Regions from separate parts of the Mus musculus genome. Here all the other regions are reported to be linked to region 1. Evidence: microRNA targets listed by miRTarBase, many of them from high-throughput screens and not tested one by one. Region 1 holds a microRNA gene; each other region holds the end of a gene's coding sequence.
Evidence for each region. The annotated mature microRNA mmu-let-7e-5p reads UGAGGUAGGAGGUUGUAUAGUU and lies in region 1 at 1,559-1,580, shown strand. An mRNA with a match to its seed (bases 2 to 7 or 8) in the 3' UTR can be bound and repressed. Matches are read on the target gene's strand: a 7mer-m8 pairs with bases 2 to 8, a 7mer-A1 pairs with bases 2 to 7 and ends in A, and an 8mer does both.

Region 1 (4,066 bases):
AGACTGGTCTCAGGTCCCCCGCCTCCTCTTTTGCTTCTCCGCCCTCTTCCCGCCTCTCCTCCCCCTCCTCAGCAGGTCGCTACCCCGGCCCAGGGCCCCTTCTCAACCCACCCCCACTCCATCCCCACTCCACCCCCATTTCCAGACCTGGCTCCGAGCAGCAAGGGGGAGGGAGAGAGAGAAGAGAGAGAGGGAAGGAGAAAGGGAGAAGAATGGGGGGAGGGGATGGAGAAGAGGGAAGGAGAAAAGAGAGAGAGAAAGGGAGAGACCCCGGGAGGAGACTGGAAGATGGGAGGAGGGTAGAAGCTAGACTAAATAAAAAAGCAGGGAGGAGAAAAAGAGAGGGAGATAGGAATCCAGAGAAAAAGAGAGACAAAGCCAGGGAAGGAAATGAAAGAAGATTGTGAAAAAGAGGAAGAGACTTGAGAAGTAGATATAGAAGATAGGAGGTGAGGAAGAGAGGTGAATGTAAAGAGGGTCAGCTAGAACAGAGACAGCGGGAGGAGCAGGCATTCAGATATGGGCGAAGAGGAAAACCTCATCAGGGATGATACAAACAGAGAAAGAAAGGGAGAATAAGAAAAGAGCAAGGTAAGAAAAAATGGGTGGAGAGAAAGAAACAAGAAGACGGACATGGAACCTGGGAGCCCCAGAAGACCAGTTCTGTGCTCAGAGCCTCAGGGTGGGTGCAGGTCCTAGGGCTCCTCCCACCTGCCGACAACTGACTTTGGTCTAGTGGCTTCCCCTCTGGGGGCTCCTGTGTGCTGGGAGCGACCTCATTTCTGAGTTGGGAGGTGTTGAGGAGACAGGGTCCTGGTTGGTGTCATTATTCCTTGACCATAGCTATCACCCCAAAGGTTGAGAATGGTTTTGGAAAAGATAGGATTATTCCATGAGACCCATGAGGACTTCTGATACTCAGAAGGCCTTTAACTCAGGCCTGGGATATGAAACCTTTAGGGGTTACAGAAGGGGCTCAGATTGCCAAGACAAACGGGGATACATCCTTTCTGCAGTGCAGAAGTCAGGTCTCTAACCAGATTGTCTTCTCTAAGGGATGTGCCTGGTTGGACCCTGAGTCTGCCGGGGAGGGCTATGGGGTGGAGGAGAACTGTGAGGGTTAGGGACTGAGTCCCTGGGTCTGGACTGAGGAGAATTGAGTGCAAGGCGGCAGGGTCTGCTTCCCTGGATCTGTGGGAGGGAGGGCTGTGACCACTACCCCTTAGTCTAAGGGAGGAAGCTTTGGGACTGAGGGAGGAGGGCTGAGGTCTGGATCTCTGGCCTTGAAAGAGGGGGGCTGGGGCTTAGATTTTGGGGCTGGGACTGAATTCCTGGGTTCCTTGGGGAGGAGGGGGCCGGGGGCCCGGACTCCTGGGTCCTGGCACCCACCCGTAGAACCGACCTTGCGGGGCCTTCGCCGCACACAAGCTCGTGTCTGTGGGTCCGTGTCGGGGGCTCACCATCGCGGCTGGGACCTCCCCGGCCCTCCCCACCCTCCCTACTTCTGGTCTCCCATCAATCCATCTGTCAATCTGCCCACCTGCCGCGCCCCCCGGGCTGAGGTAGGAGGTTGTATAGTTGAGGAAGACACCCGAGGAGATCACTATACGGCCTCCTAGCTTTCCCCAGGCTGCGCCCTGCACTGGAAGGGGCCGGCGGGGACCCCAGGTCCACACCATTGCCCAAGAGTTCTTGATAGGAGCTGGGGTGTCTTCTCTGTTCACATTCTATCCTATCCCTTTTCTTTGCAGTCTCTATGCCATCTTGAGATTTTCGAATTTTCTGTCTCTGTCTCTTATGCCAATGTCTCTAGGGTTCTAGAAGCTTCTGTTTCTCTAGTGCTGTGAATGTATCTCTGTGACACTGGGTTTCTGAGCTTTTTGAGGCATCTCCTGGTTCCTTTCTATCTTCTGGGGCTTAGGGTATCTGTTTCTGTCTCGCTTCCCCGTTCCCACCTCTGGGGAAAAGGGTTTTTCTGGTCCACCATAGCTACACTGCCGGCCTCTGGGTCCCTGAGACCCTTTAACCTGTGAGGACGTCCAGGGTCACAGGTGAGGTTCTTGGGAGCCTGGCGCCTGGCCCAGCCACAAATTTAGGGATTTCAGGTGACCCCTGGCAACCTTCCTCTAGCTGGAGCCTGATGCTTGACCATCATTTGAAACTCAATCTCTGATCACAGGCTCCCCCTCCCCCACAATGACCTCACAAAGGTCACTATCTTCTCCTCAGACCCGGAGACCCTCTGTTATGGGTCTTATTTCCTTAGTAGGGAGCATTGTCCTGTTGTTCCTGCTGATCTTCAGGGCATCCACGTGGGCCTGTCTCTTCTGCTTCACTACCTATGAGGAACGCCTCCGTGTCTGCCAGCTGTTTGTGGGCAGAGAGGAAACCAAGATAAACCTGTGCAGAAATGAGCTTGAAGGGGCTTTTGAAGATCTCAAAGACATGAAAATCAGTGAGGAGCCCCTCCTTCCTGAACCAGGGCCCTGGGGAGGGGAAGGAGATTCCTTGAGCTACTCCAAGAAGAAAAGCCAAGTACAGGATCATGACATAGACACAGAGAAGAGAGACAGGTGGAAACAATGGAAGGAAACAGGTCCAGAGTGGGGTGGAGACAGACAAAACAGTGCCTCAGAGAGAGTCTAAAGACAGTAAGGGAAAGAGATGGAAAAGTAGAAGCATTGCTCAGAGAGAGGATATGGATTGGGAACACAGATGAGTGGGGAGATTAGAGACCTGGAGAGAGGGACAGAGAGCTAGGAATCAATCCAGAGAGATGAGAGACACACAGAGAGTAAGGTACATAGAGATAAGACAGGAACAGAGTCCCAAAGTGAGGGACATAGGTATAGATACAGAGAGTAGTTTCAGGAAGAATAGAGAGACAGTGATCTAGAGATAGGTGGGACAGAGACCAATGGGGTTGGAGTAAAGATGTAGATGAGGAAGCAGATCCAGGGTACCAGGTAACAGGCCTAGAGAGAGAGAGATTAGATGGATGGAGAGATACCAAGATTGAAGGTTTAGGTTAGGGTTAGGGAAACACACACACACACACACACACACACACACACACACACAGAGAGAGAGAGAGAGAGAGAGAGAGAGAGCTCTAGGTGGGGCACATAGAACAATAGACTGGGGCTATAGAATCTGGGATGATCACAGGGCTTGGAGATATTCAGCCATGAGTGGGACATAGAGAACACCATGGAACCAGGTTTGTGCCATGGTGTCTCATCTACCTTCAGACTATGATGAGAGGAGCTACCTGCATGATGAATTTACACAGATGACAGTTTCTCTTCAGGAGAAGGCTGCTAGACGACGGGGTGAGTGTTTTATGGGCATAAGTGGTGGGGAAAGTCATCTTGAGGAAGTGACCCTGGGAACCTGTCTGAGTTAGGTTATTTGTTGAGGAAACTCCAGAGATGAGGGGAGTCAAAGATGGCAAGGAACTGAGGGAAGTAAATAAGTCACAGGGAGTCTGAAGCTTTTGTGGGGTCAAGTACATGTGACCTATCTGGGATTCTCACTGTCAGGACTCTGAAGCCTGGATGTGTTCCTGCCTCTCAACCTGGGTTCCAACTACTCACCTGTAAGATAGTAAATTTCTTAGGCTCTCAGATTGAGTCATTCTTGTCATCTCTGAAGGTGGGACATTCTCATCTCCTAGGGTGAGACATTCTCTTTATCTCCCAGAGAGGTCGGAGCTCATTGGGAAGGAATGGTTCTTTTTTGAGATAGGTGTTATAGAAGATATGATCCCTTCAAACAAAACACACACACACACACACACACACACACACACACACACACACACATTGCTCATGGCTAGTGAAGATAGGAAGAGTGGAGCTAGCCATTCAGGGGAAGACATAGACATAGTCAGGGCCAGACTCTTCCTGGGACATTAGAGAACACCATACACATGTAGCTGTATGGAGCAGACATAAGGATCTGAGGACATGAATTTCAAAAAGATGTGATTAACACTAATCACACCAGATGCTCCCAACTGCTGGGCACACAGTCTCTTAAGTATATTAGATAGGAGTATTATAGC
Region 2 (4,066 bases), not on the chromosome of region 1:
CAAGTGAGCATTTAGCAAACAGCAAACAGACATCTTTATGTCAAGAAAGGTCTGAGGAGATCCAGGGCCTGCCTAGGACATGGGAGGAGCAAAAGGAACATAGCCTGGAGCCTTTGCTCTCTGCAGAGTCCAGTTCTCCCTTCTCTGCCAAGGGTAGAGTTGCTGCAGACGGGACTGTCTGGCAAGTGGGATTGTTTCTTCGTACAGTGAAATGCCTTGAGGAGCTACAGGGAGCAATTTACCGTTTGCAGGAGAAAAATCTCTTTCCATATAACCCAGCGGCACTTCTGAAGTTGTTGAAAGGTGTGGAGGCCAAGTGTGTTAACGTCTGAGCCCTGGGTAACACAGCAGCATCTGTCCTCGGCTTTGTTCTCCTTGATAGAAAGCGTCTACCTAAGATAAATAAAAACAAGCAAGAACTGCAAACATGCGTGTCTGGGTCTTTGCCTTATGGAGCATAGTAGTGTTTGAGAAAGGACCATCCCATGACAGGTCAACTGGCCCAGCTTGCTACAGCTGAGAGTTTATGCTAGTTCAGACTACACGGAATTCGCCATGACAAATGACTGCATATTCTGTAGCCCAAACTAAGTAAGATTTATCTTCTGAGCTCAAGAGGCCAGAAGCTTAAAATCAAGATGTGCAGTGTAATGTCCTGGGACGCTGCACATCTTATCCATGATGCATCTCCATCTCTGCACGCTCTGCATCGTTTGCTACCATGGTTATTTTCTCTTCTGTTTTGAGCATAGCTTTCCAGCTGGAGTAACATTGTCTCGTTGTAGCTTTGATTTGCCCTGCCCTGATCGGAGACATCCACTACTCCTCCTTGTCCAAAGATCCAGTTTCAAGTTGAGGAAGAAACCCTGTCTTAAGGCAGAAAAGCCTAGTCAAATAGAAGTGTGGATGTCAAAACGGTTAGGGAGACATGTTGGTGAGGCTGTGTGTTGTCAGTGTGTACTTGAATTTTTAACCTTGATTTGTCTTAGTCACAGGCCTTGCAATGTTGAGGAAAGCTTTGGACTGCAGGGCTTGGTAGCCGTTCCTGCTTCCTTTCTCTTTGCCGTTGGCTTGTTCTCAAACTCCTGTGTGCAGCCCTCTTGCCTCAGCTTCCCCTTGGCAGCTCACTACTGTCTGTAATGCCTCAGGGGAGTTGACACCTTTACACAGATATTCATGCAGATAAAACACCAATGTACTGAGATAGAAGTAAATAAAAATGTAAAACTAGGATTGTACGTTGTAAAAGACAAGACTAGGCATTTCATTGGAATATTACAGACCTGTAAAGAAGAATGCATTGTGTTCATGCTGTGGATATGAAACTTCTCCACTCAAAACTGAAAAGAATATACTGGGCTTCCATTTGTTTAAGAAAAGTATTGGGCAGGAGCAGAGACATTTACATCCTCGTGTACTTATATATATAATTACCTTTTGGTATCCAGAGGCATGGCTTCCAGGACCCATCGCTACCCCTATCATGAAACCAAAATCTACTGACAGTCTCTTTATAAAACAGCATGCGATCTTCATACAGCCTACATACATCCACCTAGATTCACTTACACTCACACAAGATAAGTTCTGGTTGCACTGTAACATTTAATTTTTTTATTCACTTTACATCCCAATCACAGCCCCTCCCTTCTCTCCCCTCAGTCACACCCTTACAAGTCCCTCCCCAGCGCCCCTTACGTTCTCCTCAGAGAAGGGGAGCCCCCCTGGCTACCACCTACCCTGGGACACCTGGTCCCAGCAGGACTAGGCACAACCTCTCACTGAGACCTAACCAGGCAGTCCAGTTAGAGGAAGGGAAACCAGTAAGAAAGAGGAGACAGTCCCTGCCCCAGTTGTTAGGGGACCCACATGAAAACCAAGCTGCACATTTGCTACAAGTGTGTAGGGGGCCTAGGTCCAGCCTCTGAAAGCTCCCTGGTTGTGGCCCAGGCTCCATAACATCCATGGTCCCAGGTTAGTTGACTGTAGGTCTCATGGTGTCCTTGACCCCTCCAACTTGCTCACTTCTATCTCCAACTTTTCCACAAGAGTCCCAGATCTCTGCCTGGTGATTGGCTATGGGTCTCTGCATCTGCCTCCCTCCGATGCTGGATGAAGCTCTCAGGAGACAGTCGTGCTAGGTTCCTGTCTGCAAGCATAGCAGGATATTAATAGTGTTAGGGGTTGACTCTTTCCCATGGAATGAATGGGTCTCAGCCAATGAGGCAGTTGCTGGTGGCTGTTCCCTCTGTCTCTCCTCCATCTTTATCCCTGCACGTCTTGTAAGCAGGACAGATTTTGTGTTGACGACTTTGTGGGTGGATTGATGTCCCCCTCCCTCCTCTGGAAGTCCTGCCTGGCTACAGGAGGTGGCCTCTTCAGTCTCTTTATCCCCGTCTGGTAGGAATCTCAGTTAGGGTCACCCCCATAGACTCCCAGTATCATCTCCTGTCCCAGGCCCAGCTAATCACTAGTGACCCCCCCATTTCCATTCTCACTCCCAGCCTTCTGCAGCCCCCCACCTCTTGCCACACCTGATTGACATGATTGCTTCCCTCCTCACGCCGTCTTCTCTCTTCATCCACCTCCAGTGGCTATCTATTTCCCCCTTCTGAGTGAGATTTACACATCATTCCTTGGGACCTACTTTATTACCCAGTATCTTTGGGTCTGTGAATTGAAGCATGGTTATCCTTCACTTTATGGCGAATGTCTACTTATAAATGAGTATATATCATCTGTCTTGCTGGCTCCGGGGTACCTCACTCAGGATGATATTCTCAAGTTCCATCCATTTGCCTCAAAATTTTATGATGTTTTTGTTTTTAATAGTTGAATAGTATTCCACTGTGTAGATGTAACAAATTTTCTTTATTCTTTATTTCTGTTGTTTGTAGTTTCTGACTATTATGAATAAAGCTGCTATGAGCATAGATGAGCAAGTGTCCTTGTGATATAGTGGGGTATTTTGGGGGTATAACTGGATCTTGAGGAAGAACTATTCCTGGTTTTCTTAGAAAATGCCAAGTGATTTCAAAGTGGTTGTACAAGTTTGCACTCTCACCAGCAATAGGGGAGTGTTCTCTTGCTCCACATCCTCACCAGAATGTTCTATCAATTGGGTTTTTGATCTTAACCATTCTGATTGGTGTAAGGTGGAATCTCGGGTTCATTTTGATTTGCATGTCCCTGATAACTAAGGCCACTGAATATTCTTTAAGTGCCTCTTGGCCATTTAAGATTCCTCTATTGATAATTCTATTTAGCTCAGTACCCAACTTTTTAATTGGGTTATTTGGTTTGCTGATGTCTAATTTCTTGAGTTATTTATATATTATGGATATTAGCCCTGTGTTAGATGTAGGGCTGGTGAAGAACTTTTCCCAATCTGTAGTCTGGCATTTCGTTCTATTCTTTGCCTTATATTAGCTTTTCAGTTTCATGAGGTCCCATTATCAATTGTTGATCTTAGAGCCTGAGCCATTGGTGTTCTGTTAAGGAAGTTGTCTCCTGTTCCAGTGCATTCAAAGCTAGTCCCCACTTTTTCCTCTATTAGATGTAATGTATCCAGGTTTATGTTAAGATCTTTGATCCACTTAGGCTTGGGCTTGAGTTTTATACAGGATAATAAATATGGATCTATTTCCATTCTTCTACATGCAGACATCCAGTTAGATCAGTACTATTTGTTGAAGATGCTTCCATTTTTTCCATTGTGTGGTTTGGCTTCTTTGTCAAAAATCAAGTGTCCATAGGTGTGTGGGTTTATTTCAGGATCTTTGATTCTATTCCAATAGTCAACTTGTCTATTTCTATACCAATACCATACAGTTTTTATTACTGTTGCTCTGTAGTATAACTCAAGATCAGGGATGGTGATACCCCCAGAAGTTCTTTTATTGTTATTCAGGATTGTTTTAGCTAATCCTGGGTTGTTTTTCCATATGAAGTTGAGAATTGCTTTTTCAATCTCTGTAAAGACTTGTGTTGGAATGTTGATGGGAATAGCATTGGAGCTATAAATTGCGTTTGGTAAGATGATAGGATTCACTGTGTTAATTCTATG
Region 3 (4,066 bases), not on the chromosome of region 1:
ACATATTTCAAAATTATTTATACAGCCAAAAGAAACGTAGACAATTAATTTGGGAGGTGGCTTGTGAGAACAACAAAGAGTGAGACTGAATGTTTTGCTTAATATTTATAATTATTGTATCAATTTTGAAGAAGAGGACCTTATAAGTTACTCTTTTTCTGAGATGAGTGCTTTTCAAAATCATCACAGCCAATGAACCAGAATCTTAGGTGAGGACCTAATGTCTGTGCTACCCTCCAAGCAGAACCATTGTTCATTGAAACCATTGTTCATTGATGAATGACTTCATGAATAGACCATCTTAAAACACACACCATTTCTTAAATGAATGTAACCTGTTCCCTGTGGGCTGAGAATGATGACAATCACTCAAGTCAAATAGCTTTGACCATAGCAGGAAATCTGTATCCAAATAATCGAGCCTACAATTCATTCCTTGGCGCAGCAGAACTGTCAACTCTTAGCTTAGCTACTATGGAGGTAAAATCCTTTGGTGATGTGAGGGACATTGAAATACAGCCTTATTACAATGAACTCCAATGTCTAAAAATTGTTCTTATTTTGGGTTTGTACCACAGTAAGAGCCAAGATTTTAAAGCTCTACTAAAAACAAAACAAACAAACAAACAAAGAAACACAAAAATTTATCTATTTATGTTCATTTAATAACATGCCCACCATTTTTATGATTGGCATAAAAATATATATATTGTGTTGAATATAATAAAAATAGTTCAATTTTTAAAAATATCTTTTAATTATAAAATAACATTACCTGTCATATTCTGTGGATCTCTGATGCCTTTGAAGACCATCTATCTATATATAGCAGAACTGAATTGTCAAATATTGATTATTTTTAGCTAGTTACTATTTGAATAACTTTGAAAACACTTTATTGTAATTAGCTAAATTAGAATCTAATATGGCCATGACTATCAACTTGTATTAATTAATCATACTAAACAGTTTGTAATAGCAGCTATCAAAAGGACTGGGTCTAAGTCTTGTGTTCTTAAATGAGTTGCACAGACACAATGCCCATCTAAGAGTAACAAAATTAATTTTGAATTTTATATCAGTATACAAAGATTTATACCCATGAAAACTTTTTTTAGATTATTCATTTACTATATGTGAGTACACTGAAGCTGTCTTCAGACATACCAGAAGAGGGCATCAGAACCCATTACAGATGGTTGTGAGCCACCATGTGGCTGCTGGGATTTGAACTCAGGACCTCTGGAAGAGCAATCTGTGCTCTTAACCGCTGAGCTATCTCTCCAGCCCCACCAATGAAAACATTAAACCTGTATCAATATCCAAAATTCTGTACCAGTGTAAGAAATATATAACTTCAATTCTGTGTCAAAATGTAAAACAGTAACAACAACAACCAAAACACAAGTGTGTACCACAATGTCTGACTTTTTATGTGGGTCTGGGACTTGAACTCTGGTCTTCACACTTGGACAGCAAAGTCTTTACTAACTGAGTCATCTTCCCAGCCCTGGTATGTGGAGCTTTAAAACCAGGCCCTGTGGCGAGAACGTCCCCTTCCTTCTTGCCCAAACAATAGTTCACTTGGTGCTGCTGTACCCAGGACCACATTTCTGTAGTAGATCCCAAGTAAATTGCACCCTGTATAGCTACTTCTTTTCTTTGCTCTCATGGCACCTGTAGTAACTAAACATTCTGGGGAGGGTTGACCCAGAACAATGAGATGTAACAGTATCGCTGTCAAAATGAATTTAGAAACAATGTATGGTTCAACACCAAGTGCAAACCCCTGAGCCCCATCCCCTGAGTTTGGAGTGTAGCTGGAAGAGGAGGGACCATGACAGGACTGCTCCAGGCTTAGGGGCTTGGATAGAGAATGCCTCTTCCTACACTGTGACGCCCCACTTTCAGACCTCTGGGCAGACAGCACTTCTATTGTCCTGAGCTTTAAGCTCCAAGCCCCAGTGAGGATCTCTGCTTCAGCAGGACACCCTCCACCCATCTTCTCACCTTCTGCAGAAACTGCCTTTGAGCACCGTGAAGAAGCATCAAACCACAGACTCGTCTTTCCATTGCTCAGTTTTAAATATTTATTTAAAGTCCAGAAGGGAATGGGAAAAACAGAACCCTCTGGGGGTTTGAACACACTGACATTTAGACAGAAACGAAAGAACAACAGCAAATGCACATCAAGTGACAAGAAGACAGAGTGAGACACAGGAGGGGGCACGGGGAACAGACAACAAAAAGCACAACTAGGCTTGCGGGACAGGCCGGGACACACAAGCAGTATGCAGGTGGGTGGGAGTGAGGTATTAAATAACTAAAATGGAATCCAATTCCCCCACAAGACACAACTTTAGAAACACACAAATATAGACTATCACATCCATCTTTCTTCTAAAAAAATAATTCTATAATTAAAATAACTTCAAAATCCAATTGGAGTCCTGACTTGTTTAGGTGGCATGGGCAGACAGATGGGGATCTTGTAATTGTTCCTTCCTCCCCCACCCAAATTGGCACCTATGGGAAAGAACACGGGGTTTCTACACAGCTGTGCAATGTTGTAAAAGCAGTAAGGTTTGGCTGCACTCGAAAGGTTGGGCTCCCGGGAGGGAAGACCTTGGGACAGTCACCTGGCTTCAGGGATGGCTCTGGACTTAGTCCACCTCCAAGATCATCGCTAACCAAGGATCTTCCTCAAAACCAAGAAGTCTTTTCCCAGGGCAGGTTTTCTAAAGGGAACCAAGTCCCTCCAGAAGCAAGGAGGACCACATCAAAATGCCCCCTCAAAAGACGTACGCTTCAAAGCCCAGAATTAGCAGAAATCTCTCTACTTCTGGTTTCTAGGAGGATTTTTTTGTTTTGTTTTGTTTTTTCTTTTTCTTTTTTTTTCTTTTCTTTCTTTTCTTTTTTCCTTTTGTTCCTTTTCAACGGATTACACGGGTGGGCTATGCTAGTAACATTTTTAACTCCTCATTTGGAGGAGAGAAAGAGAAGTGGGCCAGGCCCCATTCAGAAAGTTTCTTTAAAGCCTGTGGCAACAGAAAATAGTAGCACCTTCAGAATCTTAAATAAGTTTCTTTTTCTCCTTAAAAAAATCACATACATTACAAGAGACAATTGTGAGCACCAGCGATTTCACAGTGGGAGGTAGCACACAGCACCCCAGCCCAGGGGTCAGCACCCTAGTCTAGGGGCCAGCATCCCAGCCTGGGGGACCTGCCTCTCCACACCCCCAGCTTCTCTTGCTCTTCCTCACCTCTCCCAAGTGAAAAAAATAGTAACACACCTTCTCTTTGTTTAAATAATATATATAGATTTCTTTCCTTTTCCTCCTCTTTTTTTTTCCATGTCTCCTTTCTAATATTGCACATCGAAAGCTCCCTAGCGGGAACCAGCTGGCAACATGCCCCCTTTCCTTGAGGTGGCATCAATGGGGAGGGGGTCTTTGGGCAGCTGGGGAGCAGGGATGTCTACAGAGCTGGGCAACAGGCCATGGGCTGGAGTGGGCTGCAAACCCAGCTTGCTTTTGACTGGCTCTTTGGTTGGTTCTTGGGGCTGAGCTGGGATGGGTGGTTCTCCGGGACAGCCTCAGACCTGTTACTCCTTCTCAACTCCGGCTGAGCAGATAACAACTAGGACCTGCACCAGGATCCTAAGGCAAGGGCCTGCATCTCCTGGGACCAGCTGTCCCCATCTCTTCCCTTTCCCCACAAGGCTTAGATGAGCCTAGAGGTCAGAGGTCAGAGGAAGCACGCAGGTCCAACTTCCAGGCGGTACTGCTTCCCTGATGAGACAGGCGGGAGATTGTCCACACTGACGATGGGCAGCTGCTGGGGGTCCTGGGTCCGGAAGGTGAACAGTGTCTGATGCCAGCGGCCATCATGGACCTGTAAGGAGGCAGAAGATGACAGTGAATGTGATTCTTGACATTTCCAAATGCATCTCCCATCTTTCACTTTCAGGGGCAATGATTTGCAGTTGACACATCTGGCTTGGCTGCTTCCAATTTTTAAAAAATTGTTTTTTGAATATTTTAGATTTTGATTTTTTTTAGTTA

Region 2: the mRNA of Lins1 is a reported target of mmu-let-7e-5p. Seed matches in the 3' UTR shown: 7mer-A1 at 2,759-2,765.
Region 3: miRTarBase lists Col27a1 as a target of mmu-let-7e-5p. Seed matches in the 3' UTR shown: 7mer-m8 at 3,154-3,160 and 7mer-A1 at 2,309-2,315.

Annotation. Positions count from the first base shown.
Region 1 is chr17:17,828,808-17,832,873 of GRCm38, forward strand. It overlaps Mirlet7e (microRNA let7e), which reads left to right and starts at 1,545; the gene lies at 1,545-1,637. Spaca6 (sperm acrosome associated 6) reads left to right here and starts at 2,168. Exons shown (of 9, transcript NM_001162909.1): 1 at 2,168-2,455; 2 at 3,252-3,332. The coding sequence starts at 2,197. It overlaps Mir99b (microRNA 99b), which reads left to right and starts at 1,381; the gene lies at 1,381-1,450. Mir125a (microRNA 125a) reads left to right here and starts at 2,005; the gene lies at 2,005-2,072.
Region 2 is chr7:66,714,322-66,718,387 of GRCm38, forward strand. It overlaps Lins1 (lines homolog 1), which reads left to right. Exons shown (of 8, transcript NM_152815.2): 8 at 1-2,935. The coding sequence ends at 332. Among named protein-coding and RNA genes, the nearest start is that of Lins1, 26 kb to the left of the region's middle.
Region 3 is chr4:63,332,992-63,337,057 of GRCm38, reverse strand. Col27a1 (collagen, type XXVII, alpha 1) reads right to left here. Exons shown (of 61, transcript NM_025685.3): 61 at 2,067-3,896. The coding sequence ends at 3,750. All of the region lies in intron 1 of Gm52743 (a long non-coding RNA gene), which reads left to right. Among named protein-coding and RNA genes, the nearest start is that of Orm1, 9.5 kb to the left of the region's middle.